Caenorhabditis elegans: one gene and its partner. The protein of the gene in region 1 purifies or fractionates together with the protein of each later gene. This does not show direct contact. Each region holds a gene or a part of one and is shown in the gene's direction. Other genes may lie near its edges.

Evidence for each region.
Region 2: the proteins of dsl-5 (region 1) and ndua-1 fractionate together in Caenorhabditis elegans (co-fractionation; one large-scale study listed by BioGRID). This does not show direct contact.

What each region holds. Positions count from the first base shown.
Region 1 is NC_003282.8:11,619,287-11,623,215, reverse strand, and holds dsl-5 (Delta-like protein), read left to right. Parts: upstream 1-2,206; 5' UTR 2,207-2,277; coding exon 2,278-2,328; intron 2,329-2,374; coding exon 2,375-2,742; intron 2,743-3,172; coding exon 3,173-3,300; intron 3,301-3,352; coding exon 3,353-3,714; 3' UTR 3,715-3,853; downstream 3,854-3,929. Other genes in the region: lys-4 (LYSozyme), read left to right, coding at 118-319, 1,278-1,720.
Region 2 is NC_003283.11:20,850,238-20,854,087, reverse strand, and holds ndua-1 (NADH dehydrogenase [ubiquinone] 1 alpha subcomplex subunit 1), read left to right. Parts: upstream 1-2,190; 5' UTR 2,191-2,193; coding exon 2,194-2,324; intron 2,325-2,377; coding exon 2,378-2,455; intron 2,456-3,078; coding exon 3,079-3,082; 3' UTR 3,083-3,211; downstream 3,212-3,850. Other genes in the region: clec-264 (C-type lectin domain-containing protein), read left to right, coding at 3,422-3,752.

The sequences.
Region 1 (3,929 bases):
TATGAAGTTTTTGATTTTATCTTTCCGCTTGCGTCAAAGTCATAAAATTAGAATCTCCGGTATTTGGGAAGTATAAAAGAAGTGTGTGAAGGCTTAATCAGGGGAGTTCAGAGAATCATGAAGTTCTTCGTCTCGGCTTTGCTTTTGATCGGTGCTGCAAGTGCAGCTAGAAATGGAATTGATTTCATTCAACCAGTGTCTACTGCTACATTTCAATGTATTCATAAGGCTGGATATTCTTTCGTAATTCCAAGAGTCTTTACTTCTGTTGGAACTCTTGATCATACTGGAATTCAAAACGTCAAGAATGCTAGAGCAGGTGAGCATTTCAGATGGGTATCAAGGAATGGTTTTTACCATTTTCAAAATAATTTCCATTCTTGGCAATTTGGTTCTCCTTTCCCTCGCGATTCTTCGCCTCACACTTCTAACTTATAGGTCTGTGCATACTTCCTAGTATAAGTTATGAGTATTAAATTTGTAAGAAAATACTTAAACTAACAAAATCTTATCTCTTTTTCTTATTTCTTTTTGTTTGTTTAAAAACTGCCATCAAATAATTCAAATACACATATTCCCAAAAGTCAAGATGTAGTGGTCAATGAAATATCTTTTCGTTACGTTTTACAACCATTCATTGTCCCCTCTGACTGTCTAGTTTACCAGGGCATGCATTGTCACATGATTGTAAACAGAGTATGGAAAAATAATAATATTCAAATATATTTGTCAATAGGTTGAATATAGAATTCAAAATTTAAACTAATCTTGCTCTTTAATATGTTTTACAAGTATACATACAATGCATCTAGTGAGTGAAACAATATATTACCTCTTGAAACTAAAAAATGAAAAAAAAAATTACAGTTTCTTTCTAAGTATTATTGTCCAGAATAGCAGAAAATTCCAATTTAGGTGATGGTTCGACTGAAAATGTAATATGAATGTTCAAACTTGTAGGGACTACCACAATTATGCTTTTCTAAAAAATTAAACATTTTGGAAAAACTTCCAAAAGAAAAGTTTTAGGTGAAAATTTTTTCAACCATAACTAATCATATGATCCTTTTGAGCTGAATATTGAGACCGTAAGGGGGCCCTTATGATCACTTTAAGTTGGAATAATCAGATCATAAGGATGAGCTTTATAGTATTCCAAGTCAATTATAAGCATTGTACGGGTTCGAACATTCAAACTGATAATATTCCAATTTATTAAAACATCTGAAGTTTTCTACAAGTTTCATTCAGTACCAAGCTAATTACAAATTTTGCAGCTGGCCTCACCGATGTCGATGGATACATCTTCCCATGCTTGAGATCTAACTGCCCATCTGCTGCCAATCAAGTTAAGGAAACTCTTGATGCTTTGAAGAGTGCAGGAACTCATGTCTCTACTCTCTGGCTTGACATTGAACGTCTCGCTTGGCCAGCTAATCACGCCAGTAACCGTGCATTCATCGAGGCAATGGTCAGAGAAGCTCAAGCTTACAAGCAACAAGTTGGAATCTACAGTAACTATTACAATTGGCAAGATATTGTTGGATTGGATTATCATGGACAATCTAGTTTGATGCTCTGGTGGGCAACCTATGATGGAATTAAGGATTTCTCAAAGTTCGCACCTTTCGGAGGATGGAGCAGACCAACAATTCATCAATGGGAAGGAACCACTACTGGCCCATGTGGAGTCTCTGTTGATATGAACTATGTTCCATAAATAGCTGACCAAAATGTATAAACATGAATAAACAAATTTTTATATGTAAACCCATACATTTTCGCTAGTTTCAGACGCGCAATTGATTTCTTGATTTTTTGAAACAATTTAAAACTGTAAAACTGACAACAAATGGGTCAGTTTTAGAACATTCGAAAATTATGTTTTATTTTCAATAATTTTTTGTTACTTATTTAAAAAATTTATCATTATTGTTCGGAGACTTTAATTATATTCTCATTCAGAATTGTTTTCTATTTTTTTAAATCTAGACCTGTGAGTTTCAAGTGAGTTTCGGCCAAAATAGTAACATCAAAATGGCTTTACATTTCAAAAAGCAGATACGGTAAAACTTAAATTTTTGTTCTCTTTTCTTTCAAAACTATTATGTTGTTGATCTTCTAGACACGTTGTCAAGTCAAAATGCGTAGTGATGACGTCACTTGGGGTAACCTTGAATTACACAATTGACCTCAATCGAATCAAAATTAAAGTTGACGAGTACAAATATTTAGTCTTGTTTTTTTGTTTCTCCATCTCATTATCAACATTTCAACATGCAACTTCTTGCGATTTCTTTCTTATTTATAACTTTTATTATTGAATCGGTGAGATTTTTTGAACCACTGTAATTTTAAGATTTTATTTTTACAGATAATTTGTTCTGGATATCTAGAATTACATATTCAAAGTCCTCATATACAAACCGCAATTGTGAACATCTCATCAAATTTTCGAACAGAGAAATCAAAAATAGTGCATTTAAAACTTAAATCTAATGTACCATTTAACGTTACAAGGATTCCTGTGAACTTTGATAATATCTACAATATAACCATAAAATGTGGAAAATCAGAGGAAGATGGCAAGTTTAATTCATATTTTAAAAATTCAACTCCAAAGTATTTGGGTCTAACTGACACAACAATTGTCTCAACTGTTCACCCACGTGTTGGGCTGTTATCACCGGCTGCTGTAGCCAGACCTTTAAATGGAATTCGAATCGTTATTGGTTGTAATAAGTAAGCTCGTTTGTCTTGAAATTGGATTAAATGTTTGTCACAAGACAACTTAGAAATCACACGGTACTGTAGAAAAAAAAGTAAATATATCTTGTGAGCATGTTCTAGAAATCTAGGATTTCGTCTGGAAATTTTTTATTTGGAATTTTGTATTCCGTGCAATTTCTATTGATGACAGTGAATTCTGGTTATAGAGCTAACGGAAAAATTGGAATGTTGCTCAAATTCTTTGTTTATACTTGACATACTTGACTACGGTTCTATCATAAATTTCATTGTAAAATCTAGCTTTTGAAGAAAAGTTTGTCAAAATGTCATTTTAGGTCCTACAACATTTCAGTTCATGATTATTACGGCTGAAAGTCTGAAAGTCTAAAAGAGAAAATATACCATTTTTAAATTTTTTTTTGAATCTGTATCATTGTTTTAGAAATTGGTTTGGTGAGAAATGTGAAACTTTTTGTGATGAGAACAAAGCAACCAACTCGGGAAAACACTGCAATTTTCAAGGAAAACCAAGTTGTTTGAATGGATTAACTGGGTCAAAGTGTGAAAAACGTGAGTTGCATATTTTTAAAACTAATCTCTACGTGAGTTTTATAAATTGCAGTCATTGTTCCAAAGTTGTGTAACTGTGAGAATGGTGGAGTTTGCATTGATTCAAATCCAAAACCAATTTGTGAATGTTCGAAAGCCTATCGCGGTGAAAAATGTGAAAAGAAGCATATATCAGCGTCTCTTTCCTCACATTATAAAGGAGACTTTTGGAATTTTCGAATGACATTTTGGCAGTTGATATTCTCGAATTTAGTTGAGAATGAGTTGGCAGAGATTAGCAAATCGGAAGCTTGGGAAACAATTAATAACCTATTGGGAAATGTTTCTGATACTCCGTTTGCAAATCGTCCAAATAATACGGAAACATTCCCAATAACTGGTTCTGTTAATCTTGATAATGTTGATATCATTTAAATTTAAGTTCTATAAAATCATTTGAAGTAAATAAAAACATTCACAGCTTTATTGTGATTCATTGTGACAATTTCATGTATAAAACAACTGAACCATTTATTTATCAAAATATTGTACCATTTTAATAAATTTTCAAGCTCTAACAATTGAAGTTTGCCCTGAACATTAAAAAAATGGAAAGCTGCTGGAACATTTTAAAAGTTGTTGTTTTTCTC
Region 2 (3,850 bases), on another chromosome or scaffold:
GGGAATTGACAATGCGTAATCTCTAATAACAAATCTGATAACGGAATCATAAAAATGTGGTGTGTGTGGGAGGCCCTGTCAACACTGCAGTGACAGATAGAAAGCGAATGTAAAATATTCCGAAATTCTGGATATTCCCAATTTTCTTATCACTCAAATATGATAACACATCGGTCGAGAGAGAGGTAGGGGGAGGAACAGTAGAGAAAGTGACCTGAAATAATGAGAACCCGTTTTCTATCCGGACAAGCTGACTAATATAATACTTTGCAACAAACAGAAGAAAGGGAGGCAAGCAAATACATTTATGAGATTGGATTACCAAAATCTGAGACTTTGCCTTTTTATACCCAAAATGGTCCAAAACTACCAAGTTTCGTAATGAGACGTTTTGAAAATTTCTTTTTAAAAAGTTCTGGAAAAAAGTTTCATATTCAGCTAAAATCAAAAATTTTGCCAACTTATCGGTGTCGCAGCTTCTGGAATTCAGACGCTGCGACAGCGAGCAGATGGCAAAAATTTTGATTTTAGACGAAAGTTAGTATTTTTTTTCAGACATTCGTTCCAAAAAAAAGCGTCAACGTTGGATGTACACGACGTCCGCTGGTCTAAGACTTTCTGGGCAGTGCTGTGCGGCTCTTGAAAAAAGTCGGCTCTCGGCTCTCGTGAAGAGCCGAAAAACACCTAATTTTCGGCCAAAATCCCAATTTTTCGGCTCTTGGCTGGCGCCAGGAGCCGAGTTCAATTTTTTTTTTCGGCTCTCGGCTCGCGCCGAGAGCCGAGAGCTGCACAGCACTGTTTCTGTGGTAAAATTGGTAATATTTTGACAACTTTAAAATGTAGAGAAAGTTATGACGAAAATTTGGTCCTTGAATTATATTTACACATTTAATTTGAGTTAATAAACAACTAAAAACGCATTAAGTCCAACAGTCGATACCAAAAATATCGCAATTAAAGTATTACCGGTACAGAGAGTGTAGATAGTTAGAGAGTGACAGACATCCGGGACCCAATGGGGCGGGGCGCGCGGAAGAGACGATTTGTGTCGATTTACGAAATGATGACAACGAGGAAAACTTCGTAAATCGACACAAATCGTCTCTTCCGCGCGCCCCGCCCCATTGGGTCCCGGATGTCTGTCACTCTCCAACTATCTACACTCTTTGTACCGGTAATATTGGGCTAGTAAATTTTACATTAATGAGATCACTAAAAAACTATTATAGAATATGAATTCAAAACAAAAATTTGGAAAAATGAGAAATATCAAGAGAATCCAGAGCCTTTTTGTAATTGTTTGTTGATCATGCTCTGGCGGAAAAGGCGAACGCCTGCCCATGACCATGAATATCCGTCAATTTTTTGACAGCTTGACGTTTTTCTGCTTATGAGCCTCATGAACACATTAAGAATGTCACACGTTTTTGATAATATGAAAATTAGAGGGAATGTATTAGCGCGAATAGATCAGAAGTCCCAGAAGATGTTCCCCTAGGCCTCAAGAACGTCTGCAACTAGTTCTGCGTTTTACAACGGTAATCCCAGTTTTCTTATGTTAGAAAATAGAAGAATGTCAGTGAAATCTTGTTAACTTGGTCATGTGTCGATTTAGAGAGGAGAAAATTTAGAATGGTGGCTAAGATGGTTGTTACGGATTTGTTTTTTGAAAACAGATTTTTTATTTATTTTATCTGTCACAAACTTACAATTAGTGATAAAAACGAAACTCTGAAAAACTGCATAATCTTTTAATTCTTCAGAAACATCTTTTTTTTAACAAAAACTTCATATTTATTACGTTTCCGATTATCTACTGGAGATTCATCCAAATTCGGCCAAATAATTCTCGATTCTCCCACCCCTGTGCGGTGGCCTTGCAGAAAGCGCGCGCGCGTCTTGCGGTTGTTGGTCGGAAGCTCCGCCCACCTCTAAGTTGATTTATTTTTGTTCTTTATATTTAAAGTGTAGTTTTTGTAGTTTTTCAGTATGAAATATTGATATTTAAATGAGAAAAACGATAATTTAAACGTTTTAGTAACTTCTGAAATCATTTTTGATTCTAATTTCGTGAAATGTGTTGTTTTCCTTTCATTTATCGACTTTTTGCGGCTAAAAATGTTGAAATGTGCATTTTTATTAGATTTTCTCCTTTTCTTTTCGCATTTTTCCAATTTATTTCGTTATTTCAGCATGTGGTTCGAACAGTTCTACTCTGGAGTCATCACAACCGCGTTTGTAGCTGGAGCCTGCTACATGTCCTATCCATTCAACAAATGGGATGTCGGAAGAGCTTTCCGGCGTAATTATTGTACTCCACAAAGGTGCATTTTTTGAGAAAAATGATTTTTAATACTTAATTATAATAACTTTCCAGAGTTGAGCTGTCGAAAAGAGATCACCGACTTACAGGAAATCAGTATCGCATTGCCGGACTTGATGCTTTCCCCGAAAAGTGAGCACGAATTTTGGATTAAACAGGAATTTGATTCTTTTCAACAATAAATTCTACAAATAATCGACATTTTGATTTTTTTTTTTGAATGTTAAAAGACAAAAAATCAGCGAAAATTGTAGTTTAGTCAAAATTTATAAGCTGCGGCAAACGATTTTTTTTCGGAAAACGGGAAAATTGTCAGAATTGAATTGTTCGGTAATCGGCAAATCGAAGGAATTGAAATTTTCGCCACATCGGCGAATTGCCGGAGTGAAAATTTCCGGCAATTCGCCGGAATAACGGCAATTGCCGAAAATTTCGGCAAATTGTGGTTTGCACATTTTTTTTCGAATTTGCAGAATTTTAATTTCGAAAAGGCGCAGTTTTATGTGCTTTTGCAATATAAAACATCACTCCAAGTTTTTCCGGCATATCAGATATCCGGCAATTTGCCGAAAATCAACATTTCCGGCAAACCGGGAAACTTAAATTTTCAGCAAATCGGCAAATTTCCGGAATTGAGAAGTTCCGAAAAGCCGGCAATTTGCCAAATCGTCAGTAAAAAATTTGCCAGGAACTGCGAAAAAGATAACAAAAATCTGAAATCAACTGTATTGGCCCTCAAAATAGATTTTTTTCAGGTAAAATCGTCTCGGACCCTGCTTCTTCTAAAATCGATTTGAATGATAGGACAACTTGTAGCGCGGAACCCAATCTTTTTTTCGTGATTTTTTTATCCAAAAATTTAAATTTTTCGAGTAAAGTGTTCCTCTCAGCTGTCAACAACAAAAGTTTCTCAATTCAAACTAGAATAACATAAAACCATAAAATAGGTCAGCTGCTCCTCGCCTGACACTGACATTTTGATGTCTTCTGACAGGAGGATCTAATGACTCTTTGAGTGCAAGAGACACTTTGGAAAATCTATTTCAAACATTTCTCCACATTTTTCCTTCTTATCTCCCTCACCTCCACGGAACACCAATGAGATTTCTTCTATTTTTCCAATTTATTCTCCAATTAACTCATTCAAAAACCCCATGTGCTCCTTCATGGCTTCACATTGCTCATCTCGACTCTTGTTTCCTGTCTGCTCCTCAACCAGCCGAATTCTCGGAAGCCCTCGAATACTGTACTCAATCCAATGCAAGCCTTGTCATTATAAATTCAGAAGAGGAGGCCTCTATAGTTCGTGAATTTTTCGCCAGAGAGAATCCGAGCTTTTTCAATTGGATCGGAATGCGATGGAATGCGAGAGCGGCGGATTTTCAATGGATTGACGGGAAATCGAAAAATTATACGTACTTTTTACCAGGTAGTCAGCTGAAAAAACAGGAATTTCTGGGAATTCTACGCGAAAATTTTCGATTTATTACGGGTAACACAAATTTCTGAGAATGCGTATTGCACAAC